Linked DNA regions of Lonchura striata. The protein of the gene in region 1 purifies or fractionates together with the protein of each later gene. This does not show direct contact. Links are inferred from orthologs where the notes say so. Each region holds a gene or a part of one and is shown in the gene's direction. Other genes may lie near its edges.

The links. Proteins that work in one complex are often made in the same cells at the same time.
Region 2: the proteins of UPF1 (region 1) and MOV10 purify together in Homo sapiens (affinity purification with mass spectrometry; 3 studies listed by BioGRID and IntAct, with this or other methods). This does not show direct contact. The link is inferred for Lonchura striata from reciprocal best matches to the Homo sapiens genes UPF1 and MOV10.
Region 3: the proteins of UPF1 (region 1) and EXOSC2 purify together in Homo sapiens (affinity purification with western blotting; 3 studies listed by BioGRID and IntAct, with this or other methods). This does not show direct contact. The link is inferred for Lonchura striata from reciprocal best matches to the Homo sapiens genes UPF1 and EXOSC2.

Annotation. Positions count from the first base shown.
Region 1 is NC_134630.1:7,317,839-7,323,205, forward strand, and holds the start of UPF1 (regulator of nonsense transcripts 1), read left to right. Parts: upstream 1-2,421; 5' UTR 2,422-2,492; coding exon 2,493-2,717; intron 2,718-5,367. UniProt on the Homo sapiens protein: RNA-dependent helicase required for nonsense-mediated decay (NMD) of aberrant mRNAs containing premature stop codons and modulates the expression level of normal mRNAs.
Region 2 is NC_134632.1:5,825,164-5,830,530, forward strand, and holds the start of MOV10 (helicase MOV-10), read left to right. Parts: upstream 1-2,037; 5' UTR 2,038-2,045; coding exon 2,046-2,218; intron 2,219-2,897; coding exon 2,898-2,991; intron 2,992-3,086; coding exon 3,087-3,220; intron 3,221-3,302; coding exon 3,303-3,541; intron 3,542-3,623; coding exon 3,624-3,864; intron 3,865-4,049; coding exon 4,050-4,172; intron 4,173-4,260; coding exon 4,261-4,414; intron 4,415-4,502; coding exon 4,503-4,657; intron 4,658-4,777; coding exon 4,778-4,954; intron 4,955-5,035; coding exon 5,036-5,183; intron 5,184-5,273; coding exon 5,274-5,367.
Region 3 is NW_027461138.1:113,099-118,465, forward strand, and holds the start of EXOSC2 (exosome complex component RRP4), read left to right. Parts: upstream 1-1,562; 5' UTR 1,563-1,643; coding exon 1,644-1,768; intron 1,769-1,846; coding exon 1,847-1,948; intron 1,949-2,107; coding exon 2,108-2,153; intron 2,154-2,387; coding exon 2,388-2,477; intron 2,478-2,588; coding exon 2,589-2,654; intron 2,655-2,788; coding exon 2,789-2,857; intron 2,858-3,703; coding exon 3,704-3,880; intron 3,881-4,055; coding exon 4,056-4,184; intron 4,185-4,987; coding exon 4,988-5,068; 3' UTR 5,069-5,367. UniProt on the Homo sapiens protein: Non-catalytic component of the RNA exosome complex which has 3'->5' exoribonuclease activity and participates in a multitude of cellular RNA processing and degradation events.

The DNA of each region.
Region 1 (5,367 bases):
AGAGCACAACTTTGATCCCTTTCCAAGACTTCTGAGGATTCTGTCAAGCAGCCAAACGTTAGGAGTGAGGTGTGTTTATTAATAAATAAAAGTGTTTGCAGCAAGCAGCCACCTGGCTTTGTACTATAATTTTTTCCCCCCGCTCCGGCTCCACTTTCATCTTCAAATGTTATTTTATGCTTCTCCCCGTTATGCTTTGGTCTGAACAGTTTATTCTGCTTCAAAGGAAGTTGAACTCAGTCTCTCTGCAGAAGTGGAGACTCCTGTGCTCCCTGGATTTGGTTTTTTCCCATCCTTTTGCTGCACAATATTCCCAGGACAAGGATGTTTTCCAATCTCCATCTTTTCAGCCCAGCAGCCGCAGATCTGGTACATGTTGTTTCAGGCTGGGCTTTATCCTACACCAAAAGCAAGAATATAAAATCCAAGTTATTTATAAGAGAAGATACATATTTGCATCTCAATGTGGACGGGAAAAGGCACTGAATATCCAGCCTTTCCCAACACTAAGAAGGGATTTATTGTGTTCTGATCGAATGGAATGAGGGTAAATTCTAAGTTTTTGGTTTATTTCAAGGTAGAAATGTTCTCTGCACGGCCCTGAGCTCAGAGAATGCCCAGTGCAGCACGCCCAGAGCAGCTCAGCCTTCACTCAGAGCTGTGGGGTATTACAGGTGGGACAGGAATTACAGCTGGAGCAGGAATTAATGTAATTCCCGCTCCTTAATTCCCACTTAACCCCGTGTCCCTCCCGCCAGCTCCAAGGGAACAGGCAGAGCTGGCAGCTTATGGTGGGCACAGGTGACCCCATTGTCACCACAGTGTCCCCGTGGCCTCAGAGTGCCCTGTGTCACCACGTCCCCTCAGAGTGACAGCTCACGAGCGCCCAGTGCCACCCCATCCCCTCAGTGACCCCTCACGAGCGCCCAGTGCCACCTCATCCCCTCAGTGACCCCTCACGAGCGCCCAGTGTCACCCCATCTCCTCACAGTGACCTGTCCATCCCCTCACAGTGACCTGTCCATCCCCTCAGTGACCCCTCACGAGTGCCCAGTGCCACCCCATCCCCTCAGAGTGACCACCCCATCCCCTCACAGTGACCCCTCAGGAGTGCCCAGTGCCACTCCATCCTCTCACAGTGACCCCTCACGAGTGCCCAGCCACCCCATCCCCTCACAGTGACCCCTCACGAGTGCCCAGTGTCACCCCATCCCCTCAGAGTGACCACCCCATCCCCTCACAGTGACCTGTCCATCCCCTCAGAGTGACCTGTCCATCCACTCAGTGACCCCTCAGGAATGCCCAGTGCCACCCCATCCCCTCACAGTGACCTGTCCATCCCCTCAGTGACCCCTCACGAGTGCCCAGCCACCCCATCCCCTCAGAGTGACCACCCCATCCCCTCAGTGACCTGTCCATCCCCTCAGTGACCCCTCACGGGTGCCCAGTGCCACCCCATCCCCTCACAGTGACCCCTCACGAGTGCCCAGTGCCACCCCATCTCCTCACAGTGACCTGTCCATCCCCTCACAGTGACCTGTCCATCCCCTCAGAGTGACCCCTCACGAGTGCCCAGTGCCACTCCATCCCCTCACAGTGACCTGTCCATCCCCTCACAGTGACTTGTCCATCCCCTCAGAGTGACCTGTCCATCCCCTCAGTGACCCCTCACAAGTGCCCAGTGCCACCCCATCCCCTCAGAGTGACCTGTCCATCCCCTCAGTGACCCCTCACAAGTGCCCAGTGCCACTCCATCCTCTCACAGTGACCCCTCACGGGTGCCCAGCCACCCCATCCCCTCACAGTGACCTCTCCACCCCCTCAGCCCCCGCCCCTCATCTCGATCTCCCATTGGCCGCCGCACCCGTCACTCACCGCCAAACCCCGCCCCTTCCCTCCGCGCGCCGCTCCCTCCCGCCCTCCCTCTCACCTCACCATCCCATTGGCCGCCACACCCGTCACTCAGCGCCAAGCCCCGCCCCCTCCCCGTGCGGGCTGCGTGGGCGCGCAGCGCGCCCCCTGGCGGCCGCGCCGCGCCGCGCCTCCCCTCCCCGGTGCGTGCTGCGCGTGCGTCACGCCCCCCACCCCCCCCGCGCGCGCGCGCGCTGCCGCCGGCGCGTCCTCCCCCCCCCGCCCCCCCGCGCGCGCGCGCGCTCCGCGTCACCGCTCACGGGCCTGGCGCGCGGCGGCCGCGGCCGCACGGACCGACCGACCGACCGACCGACCGAGCGACCGAGCCCGGCCGCACTCCCGGGCCCGCTCCGCTCCCTTCTCCCGCCCGTTAGCTCCGGGGCCGCCCGGCGAGCCGGCGGCGGCGGCGGGTTCGTTTGTGCGTGTGGGTTGGGGCGCGCGGCCTGGTGCGCGCGGCGCATCCCGCCGCTCGCGTAGCGCGGCCGCCCGGGCTCGCTGAGGGGGAAGCCCGCGGCTGCCGCGGCGGGGGCGGGGTGAGGGTGGGGAGGACGGATCCTCCCGGCCCGCAGCAGAACGCCGCCATGAGCGTGGAGGCGTACGGCCCCAGCTCGCAGACCCTCACCTTCCTGGACACCGAGGAGGCCGAGCTGCTCGGCGCCGACACGCAGGGCTCCGAGTTCGAGTTCACCGACTTCACCCTCCCCAGCCAGACGCAGACCCCGCCCGGGCCGGGCCAGGCGGGGCCGGCGCAGGGCCAGGGCGCCCCCGGCGCGGGGCAGGGAGCGCCGGGCCCGCTGGAAGCGCAGGTGAGCGGCGGAGGAGCGGGGGTCGGTGCCCCGGGGGGAGCCCGGCCCCGGGAGCCGGGATTGCGCCGGGATTGCGCCGGGATTGCACCGGGATTCCACCGGGATTGGTGCCGGCAGGAAACTTGCGGCCGAGTCGCGATAGTTGTGGCGTTGCGATGGGGAGGAGGGAAAGAAAAAACCACCGAGGCGGGGTGAAATTCGGGTTCTTTCTCCTTAAAACAATCAGCTTTCGCTGGTGTTTGTTATCCAAAGTTGGGCGCTGACGAAATTCTTTGCTTCTTCTTTACTTCCCCTCGCTAAAATAACGCTTGAATTTCTGCTTGTTATTACTGTGAATGTTGATTTTTTTTTTTTTTTTTAAAATTTCAGTTTCCACTTTGTCGCTACGCAGCTGTTGGGTTTGTTTGGGGATTGTGTGGTAGGGACAAGTTCTGAGCTCTGGTTCTTAGTGGTTTAACAACAGGTTTTAGTTTTATTTTGTTTTGTTTTTTTTTATTATTGCAGTTGATGCCTAGAAGAGAATGAAATTGTATTTATTTAGCAATTCACAACTCGTAGGCAGGGGAGGAATTAGGATTGCAGCTGACAAGAAGTGCAGCAAATGAAGATAACAATCTCAGTGTGCCCGTAGTAAACAACAAAAACTCCAAAGAACTCTCCGGTATTTCTAAAAAAGCCACACTTTTCTCCAGTTTGAAGATCGTGGAATATTCAGGTCCCTCACAGAAATCCCATTATTAACCATTACATGCTTGTACATCACCCACGTGTTAAGGGATGAGTGTAAAAAGGAATTGAGAGTTTTAGGTGAGTTTTTTATGCCCAAACCAAACATCCTGGGCCTGGTTTTTGTCCTTTTCCTTGCAGGAGCTGCCCCAGGTGGGTGTGTGAGTGCAGCAGAATGGGAGCAGGGAGCACATCCAGCTCCACAGGTGTGCAGGGCAGGGCTGAGCGAGGCTTTCTCCTGTGCTGGGGGTTTATCCCAGCACAAATTAAATCAGTTTTTCTGCCTGAAAGTGCTCGGTGACTGCAGGGGTGTGCTCAGGTCACTGTGAGTCAGAGCTCTTGGGTTATTTTCTGTTCATTTGCAGCTCTTGGATTTGGTAGAATTGATCCAGTTTTTGGGCATTGAGAGATCAGAATTATTTTCTGCCAGCAGTAAAATCTCTGTGTACATTAAAAGAGAATTTTAATCACATTTAATTTTAAACCTTTAATGGGTTGTGATCACTCCAGAGCTCCCAGTAGGGAATTTGTGGCCAAGGAGAAGAAAAACCACCCCAAAATCAGCCTCATAAGCTGAAAGTCCAGGCAAGAGGATAATTAATTGGCCTTTTTTTTTGTCTAAACATGTTTGAAAAACCTTTGAGGTCAAAGTAAAAAAAAAAAAATCTCTGGAGAGCACCTTCAGGTACTGGTTTTGTCTCCTGGCTAAAAGGAAGGGATTTTGGGTTGATTTTTTTAAAAACTCAGGGTGGTTTTGAGTTTCTGCAAACTTTTGCGGTCATCCTGCTGCTCATTTTGATGTTAGAAATGTCATTTTTGGGGAGGGACTCTCAGAGGAGGAGCAGGCCCCGTTTCCTCCTGGGTGAAGTAAAACAAAGCCCAGGATCTGCTCAGACCTGCCCCTCTCAATGGGCTCAGGGCTGATAAAATCACAAAATCTGGGGTTTTTTAAAACTTCTGGGCAGAAGTTTTGCTGCCCTCGCTAGATGATTGAAGTTTGTTATTCTTTTTGGCAGGAGGCATCTTAAATAATGACTTCTCCAATTGATCAGGTTTTGCTTAATGAAATATTAGCCCTGTGATTATAATTAAAGCTAATTAAGTAAATAATTGTATTTGGAGCTGAGGAATATTGGAGGTGGAAACTTTTGCTCTGCTGTTTCTGGGGTCTTTTTAAAAAGATGAGTTGAGCCATGCAGGGCACTTCATTTTTTAGGGAAAAACTTCCTTTCCCAATATATTTAATTAATAGTGTTACACTTGATTAGCGGCCAATGGTCGAAAGTAGGAGTAGAGCACAAACATTTTCTACAGAAAATTCTATTCCCATTGTTTGCTAGAATTAAATCAACATAAGAATTTTCGGAAGTGTTTTCAGAGGAATTTAAACCAGAGCAGCTGTGGATCGCCGAGCTGCCCAAGGAGCACCGTGGGAGCGAGGAAGGTGCCCTGGCCGGGCTTTGGGGTCCCTTCCCAGCCCAGAGCAGCCGGGAATTCTGTGGAATTCTCGCTGCTGGGAGCTCGGTGTGGGCGAGCCGGGCTCCCGGGTGGCTCAGCACGCCGGGGCTGGCTTTCCTTTCGTTGCTCTGCTAACAAAGGCTGTTCTGTCCGGGCCACACCAGCCCTCGCTGCTCCCTCCCAGGGGCGAGGCTTTCCTCGGCTTCCTCCTCGGGAAAGGGAACGCGAAAAAAGCGAATCTCCCTCACCCCGCAGTCCCAGCAGAGCCCCGAGGGGAAAGTCACACACCTTTGCCACCCCACCCCAGAATTGTGGGGTTTGGGGGATCCCCTGAGCTGGGGGTGACTCTGTCAGCAGGCTGGTGCTGAAGCCTCTCGCAGGACTTCTCTGGCAGAATACCTGCTGGAGTTAAAGTGCAATTACAGCTCTTGTTGCAGCTTGAAATGCAGCACTTGCAAGCAGAGCT
Region 2 (5,367 bases), on another chromosome or scaffold:
ATTCATGGCTCAGAAATATAGCTGTTTTCAGTCACTGGCTGGAAAACTTCCTAGCTGGAAAAGCCCTATTATTACCCCACGAGAGGGTGCAGAGCGTTTCCTTCACCGGTATCCAGCACTCCAGGTATCCAGTAAGTCTGTTAAACCTGCCAAGAGCTCATGGCGCTGCAAGACAAAGTAAGTGCAAGACAGTGAGTTCTCGTGTGTTCTTATTCCCAGCCTCCACAAAGCAGATGCCTGCAGGCTTAGATTTTGCTGTAGAAAATGAGTTTACAGGATCCTTTACAGAATTCCCTACTGACCCAGCTCTTCCAGGGACGTAACTTTTTTTTAATCTGAAGATTTGAGCCATGTTCTCTAAAAGTGAACATCTTTCTTCTCCCCTCCCTCGTGTATGTACGGTTACCAGACATCTGCATTTTTACAGAACTGCAAGATAAGTCACTGCTGATTCACAAGGGCTGGATGGTGACTAAAAATGCAAATGTCTACAAAATAATAGGTATGTTGTGCTTTAATGCTTTGTGGCAGGTTCATAGATTTGTATCACAGGTGTATGGATGGATAGTGTACAAAATAAATAAACTTGCACCAAAGTGAAATTAAAAATCTTTTCCATTTGTCTCAGTTGTGGACAGTTTCTTGTCATGCTTAGAGGGGATTTCGGAATGAATCTGTTCTGTGTGCTTGCTCTGCATTACTGTTTTCCCCCTCTAACATCAAAATTAGCAGTCATAACAGTTTCTCTGGAGGGGAGGACGAAGAGATAGGCATACGCCTTTCTCAGATCTTGGAACATAGATTCACTACAAAGTGAACTCCCTTTGCTTTGTTTGCACTTGGTTATCACTGGGCGCCTTACAGATTCTGTTTTTTAAAGTGGCTCATGTTTTCTTGTTTTTAAATACACAAAGGAAAAACGGTTGGGAAGATTGGGACGGAGTTGTCTGTGAGTTACACTTTAGGTTTTGCACAGTAACACCACAAAATAAGTTTTTATCCTTTGTGAGTTTTATCTAATTAAAATATATTTGTATTTGCTGCTCAGACTGACAATTCACCCCTCAGGCATGCTCTGTATCAATAAGTCTAGTGCAAATACACCAGTCTTTGTTTAAAGCCATTTGTGTCTGTTCTTTCATGGTCTCACTCTTGTTAATTCCTGAAGTCTGGGAAGTGTTGGCATCGCCATCCCTGGAAGTGTTCAAAAATGTGAATGTGGCACTTGAGGACCTGGTTTAGTGGTGAACACGGTGGTGCTGGGTTGATGGTTGGTTTTCAATGATTTCAAAGTTTTTTTCCAACCTTAACAGTTCCGTTATTAAGGCAGGGATGGTATCACTCCAAACCCATGGGTGGTGCTCCCGTCCTAGTATACAGACACAGGACCTGGAGGGCTGAGCTTCCAAACTAAAATAGAAACTATCACAGAGCTTTAATGCAGCTCCTCACCCTGGAAAAAAGGCAGCAAGGAGGTTATTCCACTTACCCTCGGTGTCTTTCTTTAACACCTACTTCATACACTCCAGGTTGTATCCTACATGGGACAAAGCAGGGCTTTTTGGAGGGTTTGCACAGGGCAGACCCATGGACAGTTCAAGAGGCAGCACCCAGGAGAGATGAAAGGTTGTGTGAGCCTCAGGTGCTGTGGGCTGCGGCCCTGGACGCATCCAGGAAATCGCTGTAGTAATTCCAAGAATGTGAAGCCGAAGCAGGGCCCAAGATAAGACTCTGCACACAGCACAGCTTTTATCTGCCTCAAGGCTAGTCTGTCTGCTCCTTGGTTACACTGGAAGCACTCCACCGCCAGCGTTCCAGCCTTAGGAGCGTTTCTATCTCTTTGTCCTTCTCCAAATCTTCAGGTAATCATCCTTCAGACCGACTGGTTCCCCTCTCCCCCTCCAGCCCTCTGAGCCCCGCTGCCGGCCCCCGGTGCGCCCGGGCCAGGTGGGCGGGTCCCGGCTTCTTTTGCTTTCGTTCTCCCTGTGCGACCCAGCCCAGCCCAGCCCAGACCGGTCCAGTCCGGGTCAACCGGGCACTGCTGGATGCGGTACCGGCGCGGCGCGGCGCGGCGCGGCTCAACCATGCCGCGGTGCAGCGTGGCGGAGGGCAGCCTTTGGGGGAATCAGTTCGTGCAGTTCCTGCAGGACACGGGCCGGGAGCAGAGGAGCCTGCGGGAAACGCTGCGGACCATCTACAACCAGGAGTTCCGGGCCAGGTGAGAGCCCTCGGCCAGATCCGGGCGACATCACCTGGGACAGATCCCAGGCCAGCATCCCCAGTGCCTGGCCAGCATCACCGGGGTCTCCAAGCTCGTCTGTCTCACCAAACCCTGCTGGGATGATCCCCAGCTCCGTGGGCCCCCAGCAACTGCCTAGGGATGGCCTTGGACACCCCCTGCCCACCCCGACCTCACCTTGCTGGCACCAATCACACTGGCCCTTATGCACTGTCACCACTGTGACATTGCACGATCATTGGCAAAGCCAGGGCTCAGTGCACTGGTAGGACTGGGAGGAGGAACCTGGGGAGTCAGTGCTGGGAGAACAGTGGCTGTGCCTTAGCAGAGCCACCACCTGTGCCAGCTCAACTGCATGGACAGAGACTGCATGGCTGTCAGGCCAGGCAGTGGGACAGCTGGGATGGCTGTGGCATAGCTGAGACAACAATGGCACAGCTCGGACTTGCTGGAGCAGCCAGCAGGGATGTGAGGTTTGCACAGGCCAGTGGGAAGCCCAAGTCCTTCTTCCTCTCCTGGAGCAGAGGGGACTTGCTGAGAACTCCCTCACTGCAGCCTCGGTGTCCTACTTCATCTTCTCACTTGCCTCACCTTGGGTTTCTGTGCCCATGGCAGCCAAGCCACACTCCCACAGAAACCCTGTCCCTTGTCTCCACAGGACTGATGCAAAGACACCCAGATTTTCCTGCATCTTGTACGCACTGAAGACAACCCAGCAGATTCAGGTGCATGGAGAGGTGGTGAAATTCAAGGTGAGTTCATGCTGGGGCAGTGCCCACCAGGACTGGCTCCTCAGGAGCCCCCTGCAGAATCCTGGGGCCACGCTGGGTCTGGCTGCTCCTTGCAGGTGAAAAGGCGCCTGGTGGTGGCAGACCAGTACCGACGAACCAGAAGGAATGCACAGACATCCGTGTCCACGTCTGCCTCAGGACAGCAGCTCAGCTCCACTCCACAAATGCCCGAGAGCCATGGCAAGCAGTGGTATGACCAGCACCACCCCACCGTGGCATGTCCCTTGGATCCCCCAGCCCAGCTGGGAAAGCCTGACCCTCCCTCCCCACAGGGCCAAGCGCATTCGTGAGAAGCACGGGGTGGAGATCACCTCAGACTGTGACCAGGGCAACGGGAATATCCGCTTCCCAGTGGTGCCGGGTGAGCCCCGGACAGTCACCATCCTGGTGCAGAACTGTGGAAGCGAGGTGGTGACCCTGCAGCGGTTCCAGCTACACAAGCAGTCACGGGAGCTGTCCTTCACCGATGAGCAGGGGGCAGTGCAGGGCCAGTCCCTGCTGTTACACCCAGGTAGGGCCCCTTCCCATCCCCTTCCCCGTGCCCTGCCCTGCAGAGAGGATGCAGGACCCAATCTCACCACTTCACCCCGCAGGTGGGATGTACCCCATCCAGGTGCGGTGCCTCACCACCTGCAACGGGCACTTCAGTGCTCTGGTGGTCTTCGAGTTCACCAAGGAACCAGGCGAGTCCTTCAGCATCTCACGCTATGTTGCTGCCATTGCTGAGAGCCAGCTGGCCAAGGACCTGGGGCCCTCGGCACCTTTCCAGCCTTACGAGGCCAGCCTCCAAAGCTTTGTCACAGTCATCACTGAGGATGGCATCCCCCCTGACAGGTATGTGATGAAGTCACATGCTGCCATCCCGAGCAGAGGGGCCCAGGCTGTTCTTCAGCCAGGACAAGGTTCGCTCCTTGACTGTCTGGCACCACAGGATCGTGCTTCAACCCTGTGCAGTGACAGTGACACTGGGGCTGGGGGCACTATGTAGTCCCTGAAGCACAACTGTACCCTCCACACAGCTCCCTGAAAAATGAACTGGAGACGGAAATCCCTCTGGGTACCTACAGGTACCCAAAGAGCCTCAAGGACATGATCCTGCTCGGACCCAACACCAGTGCCAGCTCCAGCTGGGCTGCCTTGTGGTGAGTGCCAAGGGCAGAGAGCAATGCTGAGGTGTTCCTTGAGTGCCAAGCTGCCCCTGAGACACAATGACATTGCTGCTGCCCTCAGCTCGCTGCTGGAAGCACCTCTGCAGGCTGAGAACTACCAGCAGAAATTCCAGCTGCTGCTGTACCTGGAGGAGATTCAGATGGAGGTGGACATCCGACGCTACGACATGCGGGATGTGACCATGGTGCAGGAGAGAGCTCTGCTGGTTCTCGATGTGCGTAGGGGGCTGAGGGATAGGAGGGGTGCTGGCACAACACTGGCACTCCCAGAGTGCCTGGCATCACACTGGTCCTTTGGCACAGGTGCCTGGCGTGGCCGAGAACCGCCCGTCCCTGCTGAGAGGGGACCACCTCTTTGCCCACCTGAGCAGCAAGCGGGACCACTCCCCACTCGTCCGGTATAAGGGCTACGTGCACAGCGTGGAACTGGAGAAGGTCAGGCTGGGTTTCTCCTCCAAGTGAGTGATGTCTGGTCCCAGCAGCCTTTCTCACAGATGCCAAAGGCCAGGAGTGGGTTGGAAAGGGCTAGGAGGGCATGAGAGAGTGCCCCGTGCCATGCTCACACCATTCCTTCCCAGGCTGCAGAAGAAGTTTGTGAAAAACCTGAAGTTCGATGTGACCTTCACCTTCAACCGGCTGCCACTGCAGGTGCAGCACCGGGCTGCAGTCCTGGCCGTGCGCCGTGGCTTGTTCAGCCTCCTCTTCCCCTCCACCTCCTGCCACAAGTCCCTCTTCTCGGGCCCCTTCCAGCCCCGGTGAGTGCCCAGTTCTGCAGGGAGGGAGGGCCTGGAGGTGGAGGCGGTGGGGCCCCGGCAGTGCAGCCTCTGCTCCCACAGGTGGTTTAACCGCAAGCTGGAGACCAACGAGGAGCAGTGCAGAGCTGTGACCCACATCGTGACGGGGGTGTCCCGGCCAGCCCCGTACCTCATCTTTGGACCCCCTGGCACTGGCAAGACGGTCACTATGGTGGAGGCCATCAAGCAGGTGAGTGGCCGGTGCCCAAATCCAGCCCTGAGCATTGCTGCCCGTTCTCATCCGTGAGGTTCAATGCCGTCATCTCCTCCTCCCACCCAGGTGTGGACATGCTTCAAGGATGCCCGTATCTTGGCCTGTGCCCCTTCCAACAGCGCTGCAGACCTGCTGTGCCAGTGCCTCATCAAGGACATTG
Region 3 (5,367 bases), on another chromosome or scaffold:
ACACGTGCCCCACTGAAATGTTGGCACGGCCCTGATGTGGCCCCCCCAGTCACACCTATTTGCCCTGGGAGTGACTTTGGTCCTGGTGGCTCCTTCCAAGGGACACCTTTCCCTCTTTGGGAGCCCCGAGTTAGTGAACATTCGCATTTTCCTGCACCTGAGCCCCCCGTGCCCGCCCTGCTCCAGCCAGAGCCGTGCCCTGGGGTCTGTCACCGCTCCAAGCCGTGCTGTGGGCAGAGGGGACACGGTGCCAGCTGGGAATGCCCATCCACAGGCAGGTTCTGCGGGGAACCTGAGCTCTGCCGGGCTCTTCTCCCCATCCCTTTCCCAGCTGTGAGGGAACATTCTGGTTGGAATTGCTACTGCCCTCTGGGGACAGAGAAAACCTGTCCCCGGGCCAGCTCTGTCCCCAAGGACAACTCTAAGCGCCCTCTGGAGTCCCCACACAGCGGAGGAGGGCTGTGTATCATAAATCTTAAAAGAAGGTATTCTAATATTAATTATAAGTCTAAGATGTATAAAGTTCTCACAAATGTGTTTCACTTCCAGAAGAAAATAAACAAAAACAAAAGAAAAAAAAAAAAACCCACCCCCAAACAACTGTCACTTTAACTTTGTAAATATTTATGTAAACATTATTTACAAGACTTTGATATTATATATTATTTGATTGTATATGTACACAGTGTAAATACATTTGTACCTCTCTTGTATTCTAAATAAAAATTACTTGGAACATTTATCATTTAGAAGAGGGATTGCATGGAGAGCTTTATTTTATGTGCCAGGGGAAGGATGTGGGTGTTGGGATGAATGAAGGTCTCAACTGCCACAACAATGTGTGAGTGAGGAGATGCGGTGTCATCTGTTGGACCAAGAATACACCTGGGAGGGGAAAAAAACCAGGTTTTGGCTAAAGAAGCCCTTTTTCAGGTCTGGAAGCTGGGGTAAGGGCTGGCTCACTCCAGAGTGGGTATGATTCTACCCTGCCAGTCCCTATTCTTGTGAACTTTTACAGCTCCTCTTTGAAGCCACAGCCACTGGACATCGTTTGATGCATCCCGTGAATTAGCGCCCATATTTCGGCTGTGATACAGGCGGGATATGGGTGTGGCATACAGGTGTAAGCCCTGCTGGAAGGAAGCGACATTATTTGCTGATGGCCATCGCAGCCCTGAGACTCTAACGGTGCTTGAATGGATTAAACTTTTCCACGGACGTATCAGTTCGTGCTGGCACAGCTCGGCCGAGGGGAAGGGCTCATCCACGGGGATGTTTAAGCCCAGAGTGAGCAGCGGCCAGCTGGGGAGGGCGTCAGAGGATGGCCCTCAGCGGGACACCTTGTGTGAGGGGCACCCGAACCGGGGGTGAGCCCCGGGAGAGCCCCGTGGCGTTCCCCGCGTTCGCCAGGAGGGTTCTGAGGGAGAGGGTCACTGCCCGGGGTGCCCTCACTAAAGATGGCCGCGGTTCCCTTTGGGCTCCACCGGAACGAAGCCCAACAGGCCCCTCGCTGCCAGAAACAAACATGGCTGCCCAGTCACCGCCCCTGCCGCCCTCACTCAAGATGGCGGCGCCCGCGCCCTCAGGCGCGCTTTCGCCAGCAGCCAACATGGCGGGCGGAAGGCGCGTACGGCGGGGCCAAGATGGCGGCGGTCACCATGAGGCTGCCGGCGGCCCGAGCGCCCCTGGATTCCAGCGCGCCCCGGAGCGGCGAGAAGCACCTGGTGGCACCGGGGGACACGATCACCACGGACACGGGATACATGAGGTGCGGGCAGCGGCGGAGGGGAGGCGGCGGGGCGGCGCGGCTTCGGGCTGTCCTTAGGTAGCCGCCGTCTCTCCGCAGGGGCCACGGTACTTATGTGGAGGACGACAAGCTGATCGCCTCGGTGGCCGGCGTGGTGGAGAGGGTGAACAAGCTGGTGTGTGTGAGGGCGCTGAAGGGCAGGTGAGCGCGGCGGCGAGGCCCGCTGTGAGGTGAGGGGTGTGGGGTGTGAGGTGTGGGGAGTGAGGTAAGGGGTGTGAGGTGTGGGGTGTGAGGTGTGGGGTGTGAGGTGAGGGGTGTGAGGTGTGGGGTGTGGGGTGTGACCGCCGCTCTCTGCCCCAGGTACAACGGCGAGATCGGCGACGTCGTGGTCGGCAGGATCACCGAGGTAAAGCCCCGTGTTTGTGCAGGAGGAGGAGCGTGGTCGTGGATCAGTCCGACTCTAAGCGCTTCCCGGGAGCCTAAAACACTGACACGCATCAGTGTCCGTGCACAGGGTGCTGGGAACGTGTGGATTTTTACTGGAATGAGGCTGGAAGAAGCCAGCAGAGCTTTCCCTCCTGCAGCTCAGTGCAGTTTTTGATTGTGTACCCATAAGTTTTGGTGGCTTTTTCCCCTTTAGGTTCAGCAGAAGCGATGGAAAGTGGAAATAAATTCCAGGCTGGATTCAGTCCTGTTGCTGTCGTCTATAAATTTACCTGGTGGGGAGCTGGTGAGTGTAGCTGGTTGTGTTTTGTGTGGCATCTTAAGGGCCCCCACAATGAGCTACTGATGGATATTTCCTCGTTCTGGGATACGTGTAACTTTTCTTGTGATGTTTCAGAGAAGGAAATCAGCAGAAGATGAGCTTGCAATGAGGGACTACCTGCAGGAAGGGGATCTCATCAGTGTATCCTGCTGCTCCCATTGACAGAAGAGCCAAGGGCATGGGAAGAACAGGGAGAGCTTGGCTGGGGGTGAGAGCTATGCTGGGGTGGCACTGGGCAGCCTTAGGGACTCTGTTTCCTTAAGTGGCACCGACAGGCAGAGGTCCAGTCTATATTTTCTGATGGGGCTGTATCGCTGCACACCCGGAGCCTGAAGTATGGGAAGGTGAGTTATTCCAAAGCCCTTGATCCTGGGAAAAATCTGCACCAGCTGACTTGTACAAGGCTTTTTAAAGAAAAGAGCTCTGAGTAGAGCAGGATGTTGTTATAACCCATTCCTGCAGGACAGGAAGACTCTCAGCTCTTCCACGGGACCACCAAGAAAAGTTTCCCCAAAACAGAGGAGGTGTCCTTGAGTTGCCCTTTGATCCACTGCTCTCCCCATCCACAGTTTCAGCCTGCTATTCTGTTTCCCCCCACTAGCCACTTAGGAATTCAATCCTGGGGAGAGATCTCCTCACTCCTTTCTGCTGGCTGTTGCCCCTGTGACTTGTTCCTCTCCCCAGGGCTCTATTTTAGGCTTTACACAGTTGGCATTTATCTCTGGTTTTGTGCATTGAAATAAGCCAAGGGGCCATTGGAGCGTAGGTTGCAGTTTGGGATTACCAGACCAAAGGTATTAACACTTAAAAGATGAAAGGGAAGTGTGCTTATTGCACAAAGGGTGAAGGACAGTGATTGGATTACCAGAGAAAGTGTTCTGCTAAATTGGGCCTCTGACTCCTCATTTTTCTGCAGGGATGGTTGATGTGTAGTTACAATCAAGATATTATTAACATTTGTGCTAAGCACTTAGAGTATTCTTCATCTTCAAAGGGCTGTGCAGGCAATTAGCTAATCCTCCCAGCGCTGCCAGAGGCAGGCAGGTTTTATATTCACTGTTTCACAGGAAAAGATGTTAAAACAGTGTTATTCCTAGGCCAGGAATGGAGTGAGTGTGTATCAGTGACTTGGTGTTATCTGTGGTGGTTCATGATATCTCTCACACTGAGCCTCGTGGTCTGCTCTCCAGCTTGCCCAGGGTGTGCTGGTTCAGGTCTCTCCCTCCCTTGTGAAACGCCAGAAGACTCATTTCCATGACCTGCCCTGTGGGGCATCCGTGATCCTCGGCAACAATGGCTTCATCTGGATCTACCCAACCCCGGAGCAGAAGGATGACGAGGCCGGAGGCTACACGGCCAACTTGGAGGTGAGCGTCCAGGGAACGTGAGCCTTCTTCTGCCAGTGATGGTTTTTAGTCTGACATAGTCAGAGGCACGTGAGGAACCCGAGACTTTCAGGATCTTGTGTTAGGTTCACAGCAAGGCTTTTTTACTTGCATTATTTCCCTGTGCATTCATCCCTTTTCCTCTGTCCTTCCTCAGCCAGTTCCCTTGTCTGACCGGGAGGTGATCTCACGGCTCCGAAACTGCATCATGGCTCTGGTTACTCACAAGATTATGCTCTTTGACACCAGCATCCTATATTGCTATGAAGCATCCCTTCCTCATCAGGTACAGGAACCAGTAGTGTTTATTCCACACTGAGGGGAGGGAACAGAAAGGCTGCATCAGTTGCTGCTGAAGTCAGAGTTTCCTTTCAACTTACCAAAGCACCCTGTAGTAAGCGACAGTATGAACTCTCCTCTTCTGCACAACATAAGTTGATTGCACAATTTTAAGGTTCTGCCTCTGGCAAAGACTAACTGTTCTTAAAGAGAGATCAGTTCCGTTTTTGATAGATGTTGTGTATCCCTTGCTGGGATTATGGACCCTTTAATTCCTGTGGAAACAGTTTTAAATTTGGCATTGTATGAGGGCACAGTGCATTTTATGAAGCAATGAAAAAGTAAATGTCATGTATTGTACAGAGAGCAGGCTCATGACTGTATCCACATCCTGCACTCTGGAAGACTACCTCCATTTGACCTCTGGCTGTACAGCTTTTCACTGTGATTCCTGCCAGCACAATCACGGGCAATTCTCTTCCCATAAGTAAATGAGATCTGAATTCTGCTTTAATTCTAGTGAGGTATTCTTTTGAAGTATAACTCTGCCCTTCCCAAATACAGTGTGTGTCCTTCAGGGAAGATAAGGAGGGTTAGTAGCCTCTCCTTTGATTTCCTCTGGTCTCTGTCAGAATCCTCAACTGGTAAAATTAATTATGCCTTGGACCCTCTGCCTTAGGTCTTTTTTCACCAACCCTCTAAACTCCCTTGCTGGTTGCTGTCATGTGTCAGGGACCTTTGTCTCCCCACAGAGTGCAGAAGTGTAGTTGTTGGTTCCTGGTGCTCATATTGCTTTTCTTTCCACTGCAGATCAAGGACATTCTCAAACCAGAGGTGACAGAGGAGATCGTTCTGGAAGCTCGGCAGAGGTTGCTGGATTCAGAGGGATAGGATAGGGCACATGGCCAGAAGCAGTCATTTGAAATCCCAGCATGGCAGCTTTGATTCTCAGTATTATATGTTCTTTTTCAGTGTTCTAGTCCTCAACATTCATTCCACACTTCAGAAACCACCAGAATTCCTCACTCCTAGGATATCTCCTGTGTCCTTTTAGTACAAAGTAGTGCAAAGTACAATAGCCTTTTAGTGCAACAGCCTGAAAAATTGATATCTGACCTTTATAAAGATCAGATGCAACTGGGACATGTCTCCTAATACCTGTTGCTCTGTCTAGTGCCCCAGAACTTTGT